Saccharomyces cerevisiae S288C: one gene and its partner. The main gene of each other region encodes a partner of the protein of the gene in region 2 in a complex. Each region holds a gene or a part of one and is shown on either strand. Other genes may lie near its edges. A codon is read from its position in the direction of its gene.

Evidence for each region.
Region 1: the proteins of DPB2 (region 2) and POL2 are in contact, whole or in part, in a cryo-EM structure (PDB 6WJV), measured with the Saccharomyces cerevisiae proteins. Residues at the interface, in NP_015501.2 of Saccharomyces cerevisiae: Phe207 (codon at 1,952), Leu208 (codon at 1,949), Pro209 (codon at 1,946), Ile211 (codon at 1,940), Phe218 (codon at 1,919), Leu219 (codon at 1,916), Tyr222 (codon at 1,907), Leu287 (codon at 1,712), Asn289 (codon at 1,706), Asn291 (codon at 1,700), Phe292 (codon at 1,697), Glu299 (codon at 1,676), Asp300 (codon at 1,673), Pro301 (codon at 1,670), Asp409 (codon at 1,346), Asp410 (codon at 1,343), Leu411 (codon at 1,340), Lys412 (codon at 1,337), Ile413 (codon at 1,334), Ser440 (codon at 1,253), Val441 (codon at 1,250), Pro442 (codon at 1,247), Val443 (codon at 1,244), Phe444 (codon at 1,241), Ala445 (codon at 1,238), Ser446 (codon at 1,235), Met447 (codon at 1,232), Ser448 (codon at 1,229), Ser449 (codon at 1,226), Arg450 (codon at 1,223); in NP_014137.1 of Saccharomyces cerevisiae: Asp1115 (codon at 4,967), Ile1116 (codon at 4,964), Pro1117 (codon at 4,961), Glu1133 (codon at 4,913), Tyr1327 (codon at 4,331), Asp1329 (codon at 4,325), Ser1330 (codon at 4,322), Glu1332 (codon at 4,316), Pro1333 (codon at 4,313), Gln1369 (codon at 4,205), Glu1410 (codon at 4,082), Lys1411 (codon at 4,079), Asn1413 (codon at 4,073), Cys1414 (codon at 4,070), Ser1416 (codon at 4,064), Phe1418 (codon at 4,058), Asn1419 (codon at 4,055), Gly1425 (codon at 4,037), Val1426 (codon at 4,034), Phe1427 (codon at 4,031), Glu1428 (codon at 4,028), Pro1595 (codon at 3,527), Phe1596 (codon at 3,524), Thr1598 (codon at 3,518), Lys1599 (codon at 3,515), Gly1602 (codon at 3,506), Thr1603 (codon at 3,503), Leu1606 (codon at 3,494), Lys1614 (codon at 3,470), Leu1617 (codon at 3,461).

Annotation. Positions count from the first base shown.
Region 1 is NC_001146.8:140,836-156,520, reverse strand, and holds POL2 (DNA polymerase epsilon catalytic subunit), read right to left. Parts: upstream 8,310-15,685; coding exon 1,641-8,309; downstream 1-1,640. Other genes in the region: ORC5 (origin recognition complex subunit 5), read right to left, coding at 1-1,421; protein transporter YIF1, read left to right, coding at 8,681-9,625; PDR17 (phosphatidylinositol transporter), read left to right, coding at 9,906-10,958; IST1 (Ist1p), read left to right, coding at 11,240-11,266, 11,372-12,241; PIK1 (1-phosphatidylinositol 4-kinase), read right to left, coding at 12,443-15,643. UniProt on the Saccharomyces cerevisiae protein: Catalytic component of the DNA polymerase epsilon complex which participates in chromosomal DNA replication.
Region 2 is NC_001148.4:884,408-891,543, reverse strand, and holds DPB2 (DNA polymerase epsilon noncatalytic subunit), read right to left. Parts: upstream 2,571-7,136; coding exon 501-2,570; downstream 1-500. Other genes in the region: Rab geranylgeranyltransferase BET2, read left to right, coding at 1-443; CSA1 (Csa1p), read left to right, coding at 2,836-3,501; AAA family ATPase VPS4, read left to right, coding at 3,707-5,020; YPR172W (pyridoxal 5'-phosphate synthase), read right to left, coding at 5,146-5,748; BSP1 (Bsp1p), read right to left, coding at 5,986-7,136. UniProt on the Saccharomyces cerevisiae protein: As accessory component of the DNA polymerase epsilon complex participates in chromosomal DNA replication.

The DNA of each region.
Region 1 (15,685 bases), on a different chromosome or scaffold from region 2:
AAGTAATCGCTGATATTGAAATGAACAGATTCTGATATTTCTTTAATAATTTCCCAGGGAACGTTTACTTTCCACCTGACTTTAGGACTCAAATAGTCGATATTCTTGTTCATGGTTGTAGCTATTAATTTCAATGTATGCAATTCGGATAAATTTTGAAAAACCTCGATATTCGCTTTCATTAAGGATTCCTCACGAAGTGCAGATAGGGAACCACTCTCCGCCTTACCTTGAATAGGGAATATAGCTTGGAAAATAGCCAAAAGTCTTTCAATAGCAAATAAAGAAGGCTGTAAATATCTAGGGTTAACTTCTTTCTTCTTTCTTCGTCCATAAGCAGCTCTACCTTGTATGATACGTGTTTTCCTAGAGAAAATACTCGCATCGTATCTAGGTTCCAGATATGAACAAATATATGAGGCTATGAGCAGATACTTCGAAATTATTGATAAGTCGTAAGTTTGACTGTTCTCAAGGTCATCACGATTTGTGGTTATCGCGCTTTCACCTTGTCCATTTTCACTTAAATTATCATCTGTGCTTAAAAATAGTTTGATGGCACTTTTGTAAAGAGCCAGTGGTTCAAATATGTTTTCCTTAGTAATGCGAGATACATACTTGGGCCATTTGAAGTCTATCAAGTCATTCAATGCGAATATGTCGTTTCCAGTATAAGAATGAAAAGCCTGCACAATTAAGTGAATGAAGTTCGCAGCTACATTTTGAAATTGATCGTCTGTACAGTCCGTTATCTGCTCTTCAATGATACGCTTACGTAGACAAGAATCTTCCATGAGTTCGCCACATCTAGACATCACTAATATAGTAGAAACTTCGTCCACATTATACCTCGGAAACATAACAGTTGGAATGCAATGTGTAGAATATCTTTGCAAAAATGATGTCTCTAACATCGTGTAAATGAATTTTATATTAATTTTAGAATCTTTTGGAAGTAATTCATTTAGTTTGATATATTTGTTAAACAGTGCGGCGTCTAAATCTTGTAAACTATCGAAACCATCCAATATCAAGAACAAGCAAGTCTTTTCTTGCAAAGATTCATATTGGACAAAAATATTGTGCAACGTCTTTACCAAAAGAAATGGCTCTTCAACCTGTAAAGGATCGTAATCTGTGGTGGGAATGTTTGGATATAGGGTTTTCAATTTATATTGTACAGTACGTGCTATCGCCTGCAGTAAGGGCTTCCAAGAAACCAACTCAACAGGTTCCAGCCATACTGCATGCAAATTTGGATTCGCATTAAAATACTTCTTCAAAGTGTAGGTTTTTCCTGTTCCACTATAACCTTGCAAGATTAAATTTGAAGGAGTTATGTCTGGATCAGCAGAAATATACGATGCGAGACAGTTGGTTTGATATTCCCTAAAAGCAACTTCCGGAGTGGTCACATTCATTTTATTTCCAAAAGTATTAAGAAGAAAATAAAAGAAAAGTACTTGTGATTTAAATATCAAAGAAGAGTGTTAATTATGTTCAAGGGCTAATTTTTCGGTTATTTATATTTATATGTTCAGAAACGAATTGAAAATACTCTTTTTCCTTACCTTTTTTTTTTTTTTTTTTTTTTTTTCATGGTAAAGAGGCCATTGAACCTCGCGTTATATACTGCTTACTCATATGGTCAAATCAGCAATACAACTCAATAATATATCAAAACCGTAATACTTGGCTACTTGCTTAAACACATTTAACTTTTGAACAATGCTTTCTCTGGGGAGAGTTCCTTCCCACGCGCCGGCACATGGACAGTGGGCACTCATATAGTCACGTTTCACTTTATGACATCTGGAGCATCTCAAATCTTGAATTAAATAGGATTCGATATCAGAACGTAGTTTTTGAATCAGGTGTTCTTGCAACAATACTTGATTAAAGGCTTTGTGACATCTGACGCATGAAAAAATAGATTCAGGAGCTGCCTTACAAAAGTCAATATCAGAAATGAAAAAACAGTATTCACATAAAAAATCCGGCACCACGAGACTCAAACTTGGATCTTTGAATTCCGCTACTTTAGCAAACTCACGCAATTCAAATATCTTCAGCAGTTCTTTTCTCAGGGTCCTGATTTCTAAAATTGTACTCTTTGAAAGTAACATGACATGGCAGAGTGATTTGACAAGTTCTAGAAGGGGATTTTTCACATTCAGATGGGAACCAGGAAGAACAGGAATAACATAGTCTGCCTCATACTGAGGATCTAAAATGAACTCTTGCTGGTTTTTAAAAAGCTTTTTGACTCTTTTCATTAGTGGTTTGGAAAAAAGGTGAGAAAATCCGTTCAACGAGTTTTCAACACTATCTTCCTTATCTTGTTTTTTTACATTAACTATTTGGGTAGGTCTTTGCGTCCCTGAATTCAATTTTAGATAGCTCTGCTTTGTCTTTAGCATACTATCCAATATGATCATCATCCAATCCTCAAATTCGGGCTGATATATTGGTGACAGAAACTTCTTTAGTTGCCATTGCGAAACAGCGGTATAATCCTGATTTTCCTTTTCCTCTATTTCAATACATGCTAATCCACTAAAATTAAACTTATCCATCCATATTAGCAGATCCCAATAACGTTTGATATTTAAGTCCAGATAACTAAACATTGGATTTGTTCTAACTGCCTTCATCATATATTGGCTGTAGGCGTAACAGTTTTCAGGTGAGTACTTGTTTGTCTTTATTAGAATTTGATTCCTGTCTGCATATACAATAGTTGAGCCAAGTGCACTAAATTCATTTACTAATTGAAGTAAGGCTTTTTTTGTTAAGTTATGAACGTGATATCTTAGTAATCCGTCGAATAGTTTCGCATTCGGGTTTTGAACCCAACTTGCCAGGGAATTTACCAACAAATCTGCGGTTGAATTTTCTTTTAGGGCCTCATCCCACCACTCCTTTAACATACCTCTTAAAACATTCAAAGCGTCATTAGAAAAGGCGTCGTGCACGAATTCAGATGGCGAGTTAATAACGGCATCTTTGTCATCTATACCCATATTATTGTTAACTAGATCACTGCCTTCAGCATCATTGATTAATGCTGATGTCAAAATTGTGTTCACTGTTAAATTATCAACACCAACATCGAGAACTACATTGTCATACACACCTGAGTTATTAATTTTGGGAAATTCTGAATCATTCATTATCCATGATGTATTTAAATCAAAATCATTTTGAATGCCTCCATGATCTGGAAGTGGAGCTTTCTCATTCCACCAAAGCACGATGTTCTCTTTTTTTAGTTTTCTTGCATAAAGAACATCAATAATATAATCCATACTATCCAGCCTCAAATTACAGATTGGAATGTTACTATACTGGGATAACTTGATCAAGTGAGAAATCCACGAACCACTGGATAAAACGTGGTTAACAAGTTTCTTCAATAATGTCGGTTGCCAGTTCAATTGGGGTAGAAGAACTTCATTCAAGGAAAGCTTAACAATGGGCATCTGGTTTAGAAGCCGGATTGTGCCTAAGAGCTTAGTGATAAACGGAGATTGTAACAAGAGTAAAAACTGCAGACCTCTTTCTTCTTTTAATTTAGTAGTTTCCTGTGATAGTCTTCTGTACAATTTTGAGATATCTGTAAAATATACAAACTCAAAATTGATATCTTCTTTAATATCAACCAAGTAAGAATATGTTTCTATTTTACCTTTCTTTTTTTCAAACATTTGTTTGTATATTTGTCCTAATGATGAGGCATTTATTTCCTGAGCCTGGTTGGATGGTTTCAAAACTAATATAGTAATAGTATCTCCCCATGACTTGAATAATGAAAAAAATTCATACCCAATTGATGTTGGGAAATGTAGTAAATAGCCAATGTCCATTGAAAATCCACTCAGATACCTTTCATTTTCCGCCATTGAAAGATCCTTCATTTCAAAACCCTGCTGTATTCCCTTGCCTAACGCACCCATTGCTTTTGAGCGGAACGTTACCGAAGCTCCCAAATCCATGATCGCTCTTTGATGAGGAGTGATAGTGCCCTCAAATACACCAAGTACATTTTCATCGTTGAAGATACTAGTGCAGTTTTCCTTTTCTTCCAGAAAGACAGATTCCGGTAGAGTAATTTTGAATAGCTGACCGCCTGCTGGATTAGACGTTTTGGGATTATTTGGTAACGATGCAGAAGATTTTTCAATAAGGCAATTCTTAATCTTTTGTAGCGGCATTGTTTGAGATTTGAATTTCATATAAATAGTTTTTGGTATATGGAAGGTGATGTTCTGGACTTTGCCATTAATTGTTACAAATACTTCCAAAACCCCTGGCTCACCGGAATCCTTGTATTGTAAGACCTCCCAAGTGGAGTTCGCATATGATTCAGCTTGCTTCCTAATCATACTTCCTAGTGCACTTCTTTCACGGGAGCTGTTTGTATTACCAAATAATTGGTCTCGACGCTTTCTATCTCTTGCTTGGATTTTCCATTTAATTTTTTGATAATTTAGCCACCCAACATAGTCCTCGTCCATGGAAGGAATCTCCGAGGGCAATACTAGTGGATCTTCTTCATTTGTAAGCTGATTTCTTTTCCTCTTGGATACGGCTTTCTTTTTAGTAGTTCTTGCAATTTTAATTTTGGCGTTATCTTCTTCTACAGTTGGTTCAAACAAATCCTCGATATCTTTTATCTTGCCCATTGTTGGTACATTCTTTGTCTTCGAAAAAAATTTGGTTAGTGAAGTCTGCTTAAACTTATCCTCCTTTGTAGCGATTTTTCTTTTTAGCCAATCTGGATGTTCAACCCTTGGAACAGGATTGGAAACCCCTTGTAATGCTGCTGGAATAGTAATTATCTTTTGTATAGCAGATCCAAGTCTTTCTCTATAATAACCCCAATCGATTATGGTTCTGATATCCAGATCTTCCAAAGATGGATCTAATGTCCATCGCCTCAGAAAAGACCTTTTGATGGGAATGTCCGCTGAAAATATTGCGACTGGAATGGCTCGTTCAGTAACAGGTGCATTGAAAGGTTTTGAACTAATAATATATTTACATTGTAGACCTTTATCTTTTACCATATCTTCACCCAAAAAATCCCCCAATCTCCTTGCCGTCGTAATAGAAGTAGATTTTTGCCCTTCATATTCCTTTAAAGTTTTTGACATACTTCTATTTTCACAAATCAAACTGACCAAGTCTTCATCTTCTAACATAAGACCATGTGAATCAAGAACATCTAACCAACGGTTACATACGCTTGCTACAGCACTGTAACATCCTTCTAATGTATCACCTTCCAAAAAGACCTTGAAAATATCACTTTGAAAATTTTTTATTAGTTGTAATTCACCACGCCTCTTCAATTCAAAACCTTTCAGTTCAGCAAGTGAGCCGTCTTCATTGAAGACAGCATATCTTTTCTTTATACCTTTTCCTTCTTCCTTGGAACTAGGCAAAATCATGGCCTTATATGGTCCGTCAACTTCGAAAAAAATCGTGTTTTCACTGTGCGTCTCATATATATAGTTCAATGGGTCTTTTAATTCTTGGTATTGGTGATTCGTAAACTTTTGGTGAACTCTGTAATTCAGCATGGAACATGGGTAGGAGAGATAAAGCTTTTTACCATTTTCTAATGTAAAAAAGTAAGTTTCAGGGAAAGATTTTGGTAAGATACACCAAATACCATCAGTATCTAATTCTAATGGTCTTCCTACCCTTTCTACTAAAGCTCTCGCCATTTGAATGATCGTGGCACCTGTTAAACACGTAATCCCCGCCATTTCCATGGAATACCAACGAGAGCCTTTCCTCATAACATACCCATAAAACGAATTCAAAATAACTTTGTGAGCTAATTGTAATGAGTCATAAAGCACAATCATCTTTTTGGCCTCGTCTCTCGCATGCTTATCAGATGGGTCAATTTTGGACAGATTTCCCTTCCAAGTCTTGGCTAAACCTTTGAATTCGTAACGCCTATCACGAAAGGATTTCACGGTATCGACGTAGAATGGATTTTCTCTTTGGCAGACAATGGCTTCTCGTTCGACAATTTCTGATACTTTAACCCTATGATAAACTTTCCTTGAATATTCAGTTAAACGTTTTTTTATGTGGATAACTTGGTCTGCGTAACTTAGTTCATCAAATGTCAAAACTTTCTTTTTAGAAAACTTGTTTTTGTTGGGAAAAGTCTCATTTTGTAATGCACGCTTGATCATGTTATACTCATCCATCTTACTGGGAAAGAATTCTCCTCTCCAAGCCCATTTTAACTTTCTTGCACAGGTTTTTCCGGGTCTATTAAAATCGCAACTAGCACAATCGCGCTCTGCTTTGATACTATCTGGTTGTAGTCTATTTGTAGTCATGATGTTTGGGTACATAGAGGCGACATCTACATGATAGATCAAAGGTAGTTCGTTTCTTATATTGTTTTCCTTCAACTCTAATAATTTCTGCGTTATCTGGTTTTTTATTTCCTCAAAATTCGTTACTTTATCTACACTGGACTTATTTTCAACTTCCACACTAAATTTCAAAGCTTCTGGTAATTCTTGTAATAATTCATCAATGGCAGAAGGATCTATCTTGAATTCATTCTTCAAATCACTCCTAAAAACACCAGCTTCTAATGACTCCACATGTCCACCCACGTAAGTCTCGGATTCTAGAAGATGTCCATCATAGAACCTCTCAATGGGATCTGTATGCTTATTTGGTAGAAGAATATTATGTTGATAAGCTTGAACCATCAACAACATTTCACACAAAGTACCGGTACCCTTTCTCAATGTTTCATCCGGGTTCAAAGGAATAATAGTACAAAGGGAAAAGATAAAAGGATGAACATATTTCATGTAAAGGTAATACGTAGCGACTGCATCGGAAACAGAATATTCGGAAAGGTGCTGTGGCTTTTCAAATGCATACGGCGTCATTAATTCGGGATCCAGTTCAATTGGGTTATAACCTAGCTTAGATTGAGTAACAGCTTTTAAACCCTGGGAACCTTGTGGTAAATAAGAATCACGCTTCACCCAACGGAAACAATCCATGTGAGAGCAGTATGAGGACTTGTACTCACCTTCAGCATCTGGAGCGAAACCAATTTCATCGAACATGTCCAAGCCGTGAATCTTACTTCTGTTATGTATAAAAGGCCAATCGAAAAAGTCACCATTGAAGGTGGATATAACAGTGGGTCGTACATCTCTTATATGTTCAAAAAACCTTTGTAGAAGCGCCACTTCATCGTTTTCGTTAAATATGGTGAAAAAACCAGGATACTCCGGTTTCGGTGTATACTCAAAGTCTTCAATATCCTCAGAGATTATCTCCCTATTTGTTATCAAAAAACCTTCCCCATCGATCATATACGAAATCATCATTATTTGATCTACGGCGGAATCCGGGAATTTTAAAGGCGGCTTCGTGGTTTCTATATCAAATGCCATTACCACAGGGTCGGCAAATGCAATTTTCCTAGTATCTTCAATGAATCCCTGTTGAGTTACCTTATACCATTTACCGACTCTAATGTCCTTGTCTATAGATACTCGGACATGATACGGCACATCATATTCCCTGATATCTTCGATCAGATGTTTGGCGTCAACTTTTTCCGAGCCATTTGCAGCAACGTTATATATATTTCTTTGCACATTATTATTGGCATTATCCTGCAAGATTGGCCTCAGGAGTTTCCTGGCCTCGAATAACTGATTGGAATTTACAAATGATAACTTAATAAGTGTCTTCTGCAGCCCTAAAAGGTGATTGTCCATGGTAAGATCTTCCTTTCTAATGATTTGTAAGCTTTTGAGACAAGATTCCAGATATTTTTTCACTAGTTCCTCCACATCATTTACTCTTGATTCATCGTTACACGCAATAAAGAAGTATGGGTCATAGACAACTGTCGACTTGAAGCTCCCACCCTCTTCATCTAAAAAGTAGAAGTCAACTCCGGAAATACCTTGGTTGGTCGTTACACGTTCTCCGTCATTCGAATTGCCGCCGCCATTACTACCACTGGATAAGGTTTCCTGAGAGACCAGCGTTGCGTGCATGTTCGTCAGCCACCCTACGCGGCCTGGAATCTGATCTATATCCTTCGCATCAAACCTGCCATTGTATTGCGGCGGTACGTATCTTTCAAATCCCATCATCGAATCGATGTCATCGATCTTACTAGCATTTAAGAGCTGTTGCGCGCTAAGCGCATAATTATTTGAGAGTGTGTTGTACTTGTTGCCAGCTGAATATCTTGCAGTGGAAGATCCTCCGTTGTTTTTTTTCTTGCCAAACATCATATACTTGTCCCCTGAGAGTGTTATCTTGATAGAATGTGCTCTTTCATCATCATATGCTCTTTTTGATAGGTCCTCTTCCAGTTAAAATGGTAAAAGATGCAAGAAACTTACGCGTTCTGGTTACCCTACCTGAAAATAAACCATTCTGACAATTCAAATGACAATAAACTTGGGCCTTTGACGAACACTGACAGTGTTACTATTACTTTTTCTCAGTGCTAAAACAGCATATCCGAGACTCTGTATCAAGATCCATATTGCACACCAGAGCTGTTGTTTTATACTACAACTCATCTTTTTGACTTTTCGATTGTAAGACCTCGCTACTGAGTATCAATAGCAGAAAACGAAAACCAAAGGCCCATACCAAGATGTCTTATAATCCGTACGCATATGCAACAAGTGAGCAGAATGGCGTTAACGATCGCTTTTCCCACACTCCACAACAGCAACGACCAATGCAAATTCCGAGGAACACGCCCGTGAATGGCCAAGGTAATGCGAATATGAATGCAAACGTAAATGGCAGTGGCGGTGGTTTTCCATTCCAAGATCCTCGTGGTTCGATGGCATTCCAACTAGGGCAGAGCGCATTTTCTAATTTTATTGGTCAGGATAACTTTAACCAGTTTCAAGAAACGGTCAATAAAGCCACTGCAAACGCTGCCGGCTCTCAACAAATTTCAACGTATTTTCAAGTCAGCACCCGTTATGTCATCAATAAATTGAAACTCATCCTAGTTCCTTTTCTTAACGGAACCAAGAACTGGCAACGAATTATGGACTCTGGCAACTTTTTGCCACCAAGGGATGACGTGAACTCCCCAGACATGTACATGCCTATTATGGGACTAGTTACCTATATTCTCATCTGGAATACGCAGCAAGGTCTGAAGGGTTCATTCAACCCCGAAGACTTGTACTACAAACTGTCTTCTACTCTGGCGTTTGTGTGTTTAGATTTGTTGATTTTGAAGCTTGGCTTGTATCTTTTGATCGATTCTAAGATTCCAAGCTTCAGTTTGGTCGAACTGTTGTGCTATGTCGGCTACAAATTTGTTCCATTGATTCTCGCCCAGCTTTTGACCAACGTGACCATGCCATTTAACCTGAATATTTTGATAAAATTTTACTTATTTATTGCCTTTGGCGTATTCCTACTAAGATCCGTCAAGTTCAATTTACTAAGCCGCTCCGGTGCTGAAGACGATGATATACACGTTTCCATCAGCAAATCGACCGTCAAGAAGTGCAATTACTTCCTATTCGTCTATGGCTTCATTTGGCAAAATGTTCTAATGTGGTTAATGGGTTGATCTTGATTGAAGAGATCAAAGAGAGGATTTAATTTCATGCGCATTATTATTATCTACGGTCAATTTGTTAAATACTTATATACTTTTATTCCTACGTCATAAATTTTCTATTTACTTTTCTTATTTTTCCTTTCACTCAATATGGAGTGGAAAGAGAACAATAGAGGGATTAAAATTCGTGGGAAAAATCACGCTTTTTAGATAGATTTAATTTACATCATTGTTTAAAAAAAAAGACCCTGAAAAATCACACAAAGAAAGCACAAGAAGAAGAACAAAAATGGGTCTTTTTTCAAGAAAACGGGACCATACGCCTGCTGTGCCTAAAGAGAAACTTATTCCATGTGATAAGATATTCTTGGACCCTCCTGCCAAGTATGGTAACGCACCTCTACTGGAACCCATCTCCGAAGATCAAAACGAAAAATATAGAGCTGTCTTACGACATTTTCAAGATGATGATCTGAAATTACCAGAAAATCTCAATGACCTTGACAATGGGACACATGCCAATGACAGACCCTTGAGTGATTGGGAGAAGTTTTGGCTTTCTAGGGAGTGTTTTCTAAGATACCTAAGAGCCAATAAATGGAACACCGCGAACGCCATAAAAGGTCTCACCAAAACCTTGGTATGGAGGAGAGAAATTGGACTTACACATGGTAAGGAGGACAAAGACCCTTTAACAGCTGACAAAGTTGCCGTTGAGAACGAAACTGGTAAACAGGTTATTTTGGGCTTTGACAACGCTAAAAGACCTCTATACTACATGAAAAATGGTCGTCAAAACACAGAATCTTCCTTTAGACAAGTCCAAGAATTAGTCTACATGATGGAAACTGCGACAACTGTAGCTCCCCAAGGTGTAGAAAAGATCACAGTCTTGGTAGATTTCAAAAGTTATAAAGAACCTGGTATTATCACTGATAAAGCTCCACCCATCTCTATTGCTAGGATGTGTTTGAACGTCATGCAAGATCATTACCCTGAAAGGTTAGCTAAGTGTGTCCTGATCAATATCCCATGGTTTGCGTGGGCTTTTTTGAAGATGATGTATCCGTTCCTTGACCCTGCCACTAAGGCGAAGGCTATCTTTGACGAACCATTTGAAAACCACATAGAGCCATCTCAACTAGATGCTCTATACAATGGTCTGTTAGACTTCAAGTATAAACATGAAGTCTATTGGCCAGATATGGTTAAGAAAGTTGACGATTTACGATTGAAACGTTTTGATAGATTTTTAAAGTTTGGAGGCATTGTCGGATTAAGTGAATATGACACCAAGGGCCAACATGACGAATTAAAATATCCTGTTGATATGGTCATTTGATAAACTATAATTAAGATTTTTTTTTTTAACGTTTCCCGCTACACAAACGTATATATCTAGACTCAGATGTACGTTTATAATGGCTGCTTATGCGCTTATCGCATTTTATATACTTTTAGAATCAACTGAATCGGCTATCCGCACTCTATTGTTTTGTTTCATGAAAAAAAAAACGCCTTCTGAATTCCAAAGGGTGTGAAAATTATATATACTATTAGTTCCAGCTAATCAATCAGAACTAGTCAACATAGAAGATAGATAAGAGAATACGACAACTAAAAATGGCTCCGTCAATGATTCCGTTCACTGTATGTTTATATTTTATAGTAATTTTTAAAAAGCTTTAGTATGCAAAAGATCTAGGATGTACTAACTGAAGAAGGGTAAAACTATCATCCAAATTATTGTTATAGATCAAGCTTAAAACATGCCTGAAAATGTGTATTCAAAGGTTAAGATATGCTCAAGAAAAGCAACAGGCGATTGCAAAGCAGTCTCGAAGACAGGTTGCACAACTGTTACTGACAAATAAAGAACAGAAGGCGCATTATCGTGTGGAGACGCTAATTCATGACGATATTCATATTGAGCTACTAGAGATATTGGAACTATATTGTGAATTACTACTGGCTAGAGTGCAGGTAATAAACGATATCTCCACCGAGGAACAGCTTGTCAAAGAGCATATGGATGATGGTATTAACGAAGCTATCAGATCCCTAATCTATGCGATTCTTTTCGTTGATGAAGTCAAAGAACTTAGCCAATTGAAAGATTTGATGGCCTGGAAAATAAACGTTGAGTTTGTTAATGGAGTAATAGCAGATCATATCGATGTCCCTGAAAAGATTATAAAAAAATGCTCTCCCTCAGTTCCAAAAGAAGAACTAGTTGATCTTTATTTGAAGGAAATCGCGAAAACATACGATGTGCCATATAGTAAGCTGGAGAATTCCTTATCTTCGTCGTCTTCTAACATTTCTTCAGACTTTAGTGACCCCTCGGGAGATATCGAGGATAATGACGAAGAAAAGCCTATTTTAGCCTTAGATAATGACGATAATGACAATGCAGATGCTAAACACCCTATCACTGTTAAAAAGCCTAGGCAGAATAGTGAAAATATCAAGAACGAGCTCAAGATTCCGAAAGATATCAAAAAGGAAGTGATCGAAAAGAAACAATCAGAAAAGAAAACTACAAAAAGAAAGACTAAGAAGGAGCAAGAAAATGATGAACTAGATGAGTTGAAGAAACGGTTTGACGCTTTACGCAGAAAATAAGATAATAATTTATATGTATGGTTAATTAACCACATATTTATTTTACTCTCATTCTTTTACCTTGCTTTTTCTGAGTCAGCTGCTCTATTATTCTCGGCAATAAATAAATATATGTATATTCCTTTTACTAAAATTCCAATTTTTTTGTTCTCCGGACATTTGCAAATTGTTTTTCCAGTTCTGTCACAGCTATTTTCCTTCTCAGCTATATATACCCTGTGTAATAAGTTGAAATTGGTCGTATATTCTGGTGTAAATACTACCCAAAGATTTACCTATCAAGAAATTTTCTACGAAGTCATCAACTTCTTTTTCTGATAAGTCCAATTGGAACCTTTGTCGTAGTTGTACACTTGTTTGTTCGCCAGCATCGAAACAAGGCTGCATATTGTCCTTTTGCATAATCTCACACATTGATACGATTTGATCAGCATACTTTCTCAGAGCCTTGAACGAACTTTTAGTTAGTTCAACAAACTTTTTAAACGCTTCTCCCTCTACTCCGCCTAGCAGTTCAATATATTCGTAAGTTAATTTGAATGGTGCGGCCTCAAAGCCCACTGAGCCGGGTGAATTTGATAGCATAAATCCAAAATCGATGTGACTTACATGGCCTTCGTTATCGATCATAATGTTACCGTTGTGTCTATCTTTAACCTGCAAGAGATAGCAAATGACAGAATATGCGGCTAACGAAGAAGCAAAGTTGTCTTGTGCTCTTCTATACTTAAATCCATTAGGATTACCAAAAGCTCTAAGGAAGTGATCATTCAAAGAGGCAATACCACCCTTGTCATCTAGTTCTGCATCTTCAATCATTTTTTTGGTTAAAGCCTTTTTAATACTATGCACAGACATAGCATTTGTGATGGTCTCCACAAGTCCCGTATTCGCACTAGTAATTAAAATTTTCATTCTTTTAACCCAAACGTCAACTTTTTCTTTAACCCAAATATTGGCCATCGCTTGAATCATCTGGTATGCAAACGCCTCCTGTCTCAAATCATCACCCGTCTTGGCGATTACAGAACATAAATCCCAGTTTTCGAAATGGCCATATTCCGAAGTTTTACGTATCCTCTCTTTCTTGGTAGCCCAATCTTCACCTAGATATGAAGTGTCAATACCACCCGTCATTAAATCGTTTTCCAATTTTCTCTCACCTGCCATTCCATGAAGGGCTTCCAAATCATGGTAACCAAATTTATCCTGCACCTCCTTCATTGATGAAATAATTTGAGCGCGGATTTGTTTGGTACTTTCTGATAACTGTTGTGGCGACTTATCCAATTGTGCTAACATAACAGCTGAAACTCTCATCTGGTCTGCTAAAGCGTCAGTTTGGCTATGTATATTTTTGCTATTAATTCCATTCTCGATGAGTACTTCGTCCAAGTTTGAGCCAAAGTTCAACTCTGGGCTTCTGTCTTGACTATCATCAGGTAAAATTGGAACATTTGCGGCACTCTGTATTACTAAAGCATTTCTATACGCTTCGTCATCCGTTCTGTTCCTGACTTTTACCATTGACATATCACCTAAATCTTCCTCTTTATTGACTTCAGTCCTAACATGAGCTGTGGACGCTGAATCACTTCTTGAGGTACTGGATAGACCTTCATTGCGGGAGGCCCCGTTGTTGAACGAGTTACTATCATATACCGAAGATCGAGTGTTGTTGCTAGTAAGAGTACTTTCATTTCTATTTTCGTTGTTTTCTTTTCTATTCATGTAATTTAAATCAAATATCAAGCCTCCCTGATTACCACTGATCTTCTTTAATAATCTTTCATTGGTTTCACTTGTTGGGTCAAAATCAAATTCGTCTCTCAAGTATTCTATCAGGAGTAAATATGGAACTTTTTCTGCAGAGTTCAAAACTTGTGCCTCATTAGCAGTAATGGTCACTAATTTATGTAACTTTCCTTTTTTATTTGGAGGCAATAAAGTGGGGATATCTACTTCCGCTGGTAGGTCCCTGTTTAATAGAAACAACTCGGCTCGTAAGGCACTCAATCTAGCTTCTGTCGGTACTCGAGCTAGCCTTTGAGATATTGTTTCTAGCGCAATGGCAAATTGTGTCTCGCAACGAAAATAATTTGCTTTTAACATTTTTATTTTTGAAGTGGTCGATAATTGCGACAAGTCAATTTCTTGACTCAAAGAAGAATTCGCTTTTTTACTGTTTTTGAATGCCTGGCGCGAAAGGGGTTGGGAATTGGTCCTGTTTAACTTAGGTGTCCCTTCTAAAGAAGCAGATGAAGCAGAAGAAGTCCTTGGTTGAATATTATGCAGATCTGGCATAGAACTGGTGAAGTGATCAGAGTTTAAAGCGTCCGCGTCCTCCTCCGTTTCACCACCAGTTTCATCTTCATTGTTACCAATCTCATTATTTTCATCATTACGTCCCTTTGGAGAAATATAATCACCTTTATTTCCATCGAGAGCCTTTGCGGTATTTGAAATGCTTCCGTCCCTGTTTATATTTTTGCCATCATATGTCCTATGAACGTATGAATTATCCAAATACTTAGGTTTACGTTTTGGGAGTTTGATTGAAGATGAGATTCTTTCTTCAAAGACCTGGTTACCTATATCATCCACAATGTCGAAATCCAATTTTACCTCACTATGTCTGGATTTCCTGAAGGATGCATCTTCTTTAGTTTTTATTGGATCTATTAAATCTATTGGAGAAGTCGGAGTTGAACTGCGATTTGAGCTAACTCTTTTGGATCTGGAAGTTTTCTTGTTTAGTAGGGTATTTTTCAAGGTCATGTTCTTGGTAAAATCTTTCATTGCACTTCTAGCCAACTTAAAAACGAAAGCTTTTTGTCTTCTACCTTGAGATTCCACTAATGGTTTGGTCACTTCGCTTAATTGGGGGAATGCTATAGCCGACATTATCATAGAGGAAAGAACTAAGGCCGGTGCAACGTTTTCATGTATTTTAACATTTTTATCGCTACCTGAACTTGTGTTAAAGAGATTGGTTTGTAAGTTGTTTAAGACTCTTCTAGCCACTTGGAAGCCATAAGAAGCGGGGTCAGTAGATAAATCCGTTAGTAACGCTTGTAACTGCCAAAACGTCAGTAGTGCAAAATGAGGGTTTTCCGCCCTCAACCTTAATAGTAAATCTTCTAAAGCCATTGATTCTGTCTCCATGGTGACGAGGACCTGTACTAGTTGGGGAATATAGAACTGTAGTTCGCTGTGAGGAAATGTGGCCAATTTCTGACATAAATAGTAATGTATACCAATATTTTCGGAGTGTTTGCACAGTAACTCCACACAATTGTGAAGGGTGAATTCACTAGAGTTGATCAGTTTCAGTAATTGTTCATTTTTTTTTAGTTCAATAGTATCATCAAAGCTTTTCTTTGAACTGGATGCTTTATGCATAGTGAAGAGAACGAATGCTTAATGAAAACGAACGCTCGCAAT
Region 2 (7,136 bases):
ATGCTGAATCCCATGCAGCTCAAGCTTTTACCTGTCTTGGCGCTTTGGCAATTGCTAACAAATTGGATATGCTTAGTGACGACCAACTAGAAGAAATTGGGTGGTGGCTTTGCGAACGACAATTACCAGAAGGTGGACTAAACGGTAGGCCAAGTAAACTGCCCGATGTTTGCTATAGTTGGTGGGTTTTATCTTCATTAGCTATTATTGGTAGACTAGATTGGATAAATTATGAGAAGCTAACTGAGTTTATACTCAAATGTCAAGATGAGAAGAAGGGTGGAATAAGCGACAGGCCTGAAAATGAAGTGGATGTCTTCCATACAGTTTTTGGTGTTGCTGGTTTAAGTTTAATGGGATACGACAATTTAGTCCCCATAGATCCCATATATTGTATGCCGAAATCCGTTACATCAAAATTCAAAAAGTATCCATACAAATAGATGGCAGAGTACCAACACTACCGTGCTTGTTTAAGTGTTCTTATTTTGATGCATTATTTAGATATATATCTCTTCTTGTATAGTTTTCTTTGAGGATGGAACGTACTCCATATACCTAGCACGTCTATTATGAATGAAACTTCCAGGGTTAATTACTTTACAACCGTTGTATGTCAAATCAAATTGTGCAGAAGTAGTGTCGCAAAGAACCATTGTCGATGGTATTGGGCAAAGTGTCAAAGTGTGGTCCAAATCCCATGAAATTGGGCGCAAGGAATCAAGAAATGGCGATAAATGACCCTGGTCTAGTATTGTTTTAACGAGTTTTCTTGTTTCTTGAACCTTTTGTGGTAACTGGTCTGGTTCTTTAACTAATTCATCGATTGGTACAATATCGGTGTCTTTAGACATCATGTTATCGTTTTCAGTATAAACATCTTCGCTCTCGTTGAATGGGAATTCCAAACGGTGTCTTTTGAATCTTCCGGATAAATCGTCCCTGAAAATGACTATTTCTTGGGATAAGTATGCTATTCTAGTTGGATTTGAGCTCCATACAACGTTTTTACAGACCTTGTTGATTTTTTTGGTAAACGCACTAGGAATTGGATCTTGCGGTAATGTCCCACTTGCCCCCAATGACACCATCGACCCCCATAAATCGTTAGGACCTGGAATAAATATCATTGTGGTATTTTCGGTCAAATTGTCAAATCTTGACAGAAGCGTCGCCAAGGCATCGAAATTATTCTTAAATTGAGTGGAACTACTTATATTCCGGCTACTCATTGATGCGAAAACGGGAACTGAAGTGAAAGAACCTTGCCAAATTAATAGGGTCGGTGGGTCATCATTTAATTTTTGCAAAATTTTGCTGAGTGCAGTCATAATTTTCAAATCATCTAGGAACAAATTTGCGCCGAGAATTACAAATTTATGATCTGTTAATTCTTTCTCCAAAAGGTGTAATCTAATCTTCAAATCTTTATCCAAACGAGCAATGAAATTGTTATTAGAAATGCCATGTATTCCTAAGAGATCGAGATTACCTATCGTTTCTAATGTAATTTCTCTTCTCTCACCAGGGGGTAAAGTCATGGAGGTAACATGGAATTTATTTCCTACAGAATAGTATATTCCTTCCACAAGAACCATGCAACCTGGCACGTAGTAATGGCCTTGTGTAGGGATAGTTTGGGAAATGTCAATTTCGACAGATCCAGACGGATCTTCCAGTGACCAATTGCCCTTAAAGTTCTTATTTAAGAGCCCCAATAGTAGAAAGTTTTGAGCATCCCTACCTAGTAGGTTTTTTATTGGGGTGATACTCATACTGCTGGATTGCTGCTGTCGGTTAGTATTGGACAGTTCATTTTGTAAAGACACCATAGATGATAATGGATTAAACATGTCACTGTTTTGGAAGTTTTCATTTCTCATGACTCTGTCGTTCGTGAGGTAATATCTTGTCAAGAACATTTGAACTTTGTCCTCTATATCTGGTAGAAAACCCGCAATGCCTCCTAGCCCATTCTGCTTTTTATTGGGGACGAAAATAAATTGCATTTTGTGCGGATTGTATGAGAATCTTTGTTGCTGAGAAGCATTGATAACTTTGAAGTAGTCCCTCCAGTCCAACGCCTTGGAGCTTTCTGGCTTGAAAGGCTGTTTATATTCATCTCTTTCGGTGGGCTGTCGCATGGGTGAAGATAATGAAACATTTTGTAAGGATGAATCAGCAGCGATCGGCATTTCATCGTCACTGTTGTTCTCATCGTCATCTGTCCGTCCCAAGATATTCTCCTCATGTTGAATAGGGTGTTCATGACTCCATTCGACTTTCTCACGTTCTTTCATCTCCTGTATAACTTCTTTAACCCCGCTCTGGTCGATGAAAAGGCCTCTTTCTTGTTGTTTCCATACTGCAGCAAATTGCTCGAGAAATTTTATTGTAGCAGGCCCTTGTCTCCAGTTAGCACCTATATTAGTGCCAACGAATTCTGCAAGAGCAGACAGTCCATCAGATTTAATTGATAAACCATATTTTCTTGATAAAACTCTATACGCCAGTGGCCTAAGCAGCGGAGGCTGAATTTTAACAGGCAGAACATTCCCAGAGCCAAACATTTCACACATAGACGCTTCTAGTTCCACTTACAAACTTTAAAGGCATAAACAAGTCATCTCAACTTTATTGTAACATGTGTTAAAGATGCCCAGTTGAAATATTTTTCTATTATGTCACGCGAAAAATAACGCGTCACATCACTTTTGTTCCTTTTGTCGTTTTTCTTCTTTTAGATTCCATCTTGAAAAGAGATGAAATGGACAAAGTAACATAATTTAGACCCAACAAAGTAAAAAGAAGGTTGGGTTGGCATTGAAGATCACAATGGGAATTCAGGAAAAGACATTGGGGATACGAAAAGAGCGCAAATTGGTGGTTGTGCCTCGCGAAAGAAATCATGTTAGACACGCTTCACAAAGGACACGTTCTAAAAACTACAAGAATATCTCCAAAAAGAGGGCTCAACAACACGCGTTTGGATTCAATATTGCTAAGACTCTTGCCAAGATCCAAGCGTTTGTATGGGGGTCTCCCGCAGATGAGGAAGAAGAAAGCGTTGTCCCATTGTCTAAAAATTCTCAGGATTGTGTGCCTCTACAATGGCAAGCAAAGTTTGCGCAATTGCGGCAGCAGCTGCACTCTACACAAAAGGAACTACAATTTGTCAAGGAAAAGTGTCATCTGTTGCAGTCGGTGTTGGACGACGCAAACATCGATCAAAGATACCTGGAGTCTCGTCGAGACATGAAAAATATTGAGCGAGACAACCTCAAACCGACAGAAAATTTACCACCTTCGCCAGTAAGAGCAGTAAACCCGTTAGTGACTTCAAGTCCGATTCACATGTCGCCACTCCAGTCGCGCCAACGACCAGTTTCTTCCCTACAGCCCCCAAAGGGCCCCAACTTCTACGCCAAGTATCCTAAGCTTCCTCAAACGAACATTCTCAGAGAATCTCCGACTGAGGATTCGGTTCCGCACGCTGAATAGAAACACAACACGTCATGGTTGTTCTTTCTGTACATCTATTTATTCTTGCTTGATGATATTTATTGTATTGCTTTACGGGTACCCCCGCTGGGTGAAAAAAAAAAAAAAATAAGAACTTCATGATATCGAACGATTTAATCGTGGGTTGAGGACATGGAAGACAAAAATAAAGCAGCATAGAGTGCCTATAGTAGATGGGGTACAAATGAGCACGGGAGATTTTTTAACTAAGGGAATAGAACTGGTTCAAAAGGCCATTGACCTGGACACAGCCACGCAGTATGAGGAGGCGTATACAGCATACTATAACGGATTAGATTATTTGATGTTGGCTTTGAAATACGAGAAAAACCCTAAGTCGAAGGATTTGATAAGAGCGAAGTTTACAGAGTATCTAAACCGTGCAGAGCAGTTGAAAAAGCACTTGGAAAGTGAAGAGGCAAACGCGGCAAAGAAATCTCCTAGCGCTGGTAGTGGTTCCAACGGTGGTAATAAGAAAATCTCTCAGGAAGAGGGTGAGGATAATGGTGGAGAAGACAACAAAAAGCTAAGAGGTGCCTTATCGAGTGCTATTTTGTCTGAGAAGCCCAATGTTAAGTGGGAAGACGTGGCTGGACTGGAAGGAGCCAAAGAGGCCCTTAAAGAAGCCGTTATTTTACCTGTCAAGTTCCCACATTTGTTCAAAGGTAACCGTAAGCCCACTTCGGGAATCTTATTGTACGGACCACCAGGTACAGGTAAATCATATTTGGCAAAAGCAGTGGCCACCGAGGCCAATTCTACCTTTTTCAGTGTTAGTTCCAGTGATTTGGTTTCTAAGTGGATGGGTGAATCTGAAAAACTTGTCAAACAGTTATTTGCGATGGCAAGAGAAAATAAACCTTCTATTATTTTTATAGATGAAGTGGATGCGCTAACAGGTACCAGAGGAGAAGGAGAGAGCGAAGCAAGTAGAAGAATTAAAACAGAATTATTGGTACAAATGAATGGTGTTGGGAATGACTCCCAAGGTGTTTTGGTCCTTGGCGCAACAAATATCCCATGGCAACTGGACAGTGCCATCAGGAGAAGATTTGAAAGAAGAATATATATACCATTACCAGATTTGGCGGCAAGAACCACCATGTTCGAGATTAACGTCGGCGACACTCCATGCGTATTGACCAAGGAAGATTATAGAACTTTAGGTGCAATGACTGAAGGTTATTCCGGGAGTGATATTGCTGTAGTGGTGAAAGATGCGCTAATGCAACCGATAAGAAAAATTCAAAGCGCGACACATTTCAAAGATGTCTCTACGGAGGACGACGAAACAAGAAAACTAACACCATGCTCTCCAGGTGATGATGGCGCCATCGAGATGAGTTGGACGGATATTGAAGCTGATGAATTAAAAGAACCAGATCTCACCATAAAGGATTTCTTAAAGGCTATCAAATCGACGAGACCTACCGTGAATGAGGATGACTTGCTGAAGCAAGAACAGTTCACTAGAGATTTTGGTCAAGAAGGTAACTAGTCAATTGATTAACGTGCTAATGTAGATTTCTTGTGTACATGAAAATAAAAAATAAAAAAAAAAAAAAAACAGAATAATTAAATACAGAATCGTATGCAAAATAGATAAAGAAAAGCAGAGGACAGTTAACTCTTCCCTTTACTTAGAAACATTGTTCTGTTCTCATTATTGGATACCCTAGCATTATCAATTCTAACTTTAACAACGGCGGTGTTCTTTTCAAATATAAAAGCTTTCGCATCAGGATTAGCCTTTAGTATTAAATCTTTATAGTACTTGGATTCTTCACTTTCAGGATTGACAATTTCGGTTTCGCCACCAATAGATGCGCTCATTTGGTTCAATTCGGCTTGATTTAACTCCTGTAACAAATTTAAAAGCTCGCTTTGACGTTGCTCTTCATGAGGAATAGAAGTCGGCGTCGGAGTCCCAGAGATGCTTTCCTTGCCCACTGACAAATTATTCGCGATGATCCAATCGTGAAACAACAGGGCGACCTTAGGGTTCTCCTTGATGTTGTAAAACTTTTGTGTGTCCTGAGGAGAAACAAATATAATGTAGTCATTCTTATTATCTGTTTGACCGAACAGTTTTTCACCTGGCACATAGATATAGTTCATCAATGCCACTGAAGGGATGCAGTCTTTAGAACAGGTGGCCACGTGAACATATTTGGAGTTTTTGATCAGGTTCAGTAGATGCGCTGGTAATGTACTAGTCCAAGCCATAATTGAGATGTTTCAGGGTTTGAATAGCCTGTAATTTTACTGCTATTTTCTAATAAGGGAGGAAAAGTGTAGCAAAAAGATCGATGATTTATATTCCTTCAGGTTCATAAGGGGAGCAAATGTCAAAGCGCAAACGTGGGAAGTGACGATAATACATGTATCCCATTAAATTATCATATTATTGTTACATCATATGTACGTACATACATGTGTAAAATACGGAGGTCTACTCTGTAGTTACACGCGTGTTGGAAGTTTTCTTCTGGGACCACGAGTCCTATTTTTATTCGGGTGAACTAATGGTTTAGTTTCCTTCACTGTTTCATCTCTAGAAGTAGTATACTTGTCAGAAGTTGCAATATTAGTGTTAACACCGCTAAGTTCTGGTAGAGTATTAGATGCTCTTAAGTTTCTAGAGGCAATTATTGCGTCTAATTTTGCGTTTATGCTCAGTTCGTTTGAGGACTCTAAAACAGGCTCGGTTTTAGATTTTTTCATCAATTCGACTTTTCGCAATGCCTCTGGCAAAGAAATTTTACGTTGTGGCGCCGTTGGTGGCCGTTTCTTCAGGTTATTCCGCAATGATAGAGCTTCAATTTCGTCATTTAACTTGTTAATATCATCACCATTTTTGAGTGTAGTATTTTTCGAATTATTTGTTAGAAATGATTTTTTCTGAGGGATTGCAGGCTTCTGCTGTTTGGTTTTCTTCAGATTTTGTATACCTTTTATTGCTTCTGGAATACTGTCCTCCTCTTCTTTTTTAATGTTACGGTTGCTGGATCGTAACTTGGGCAAATCGATTGAGTTTTCGAAGTTCTGCTTTGTTGGAGAAGTTTCTACGGGACGTAGCTCAGGTAATACTATATTCAACTCCACTTTCTTTGGCGGTATGCTTGGTTTGGTCTTATGGGCGGCCAAATTTGCATTCCGTAGCTTTTGAGGTTTTTCAGGCAAAGAAGGCTTGGAAGTTGTCGTGAGATTCGAGTTTAGCATAGACTTGATAAAACTTTCAGATCTTGGAATTCTTTTCGCAGGTGGAGAAGGAGGGGTTGGTTTAGGTTTATTTTTCATTGTAGGAGATAAGGTGGTTGGTTTTAGTTGTATGGAATCCAAGTAATCGATATGAGAACTTTTTACAGTTGTTTTGGGAGTTTCCATTTCCGAATTATAACTCTTCGCCTTTGTCAATTTGTTATCTTCCAAAGAACTTAAAAAGCTCGCCGGTTTTGTAGAGCGTGAGACAGGTGGAGCAGGCTTAACGCGCTCAGGTACCACAGCATCCGGTTTTATTGACCTTGATGACGGACTTTCTGTAACTTCTGCTTTGTTAGGCCTTGTTGGAAGAAGCGGTTTCTCTTCATTCCCATCTGTGATTTTGATATGAT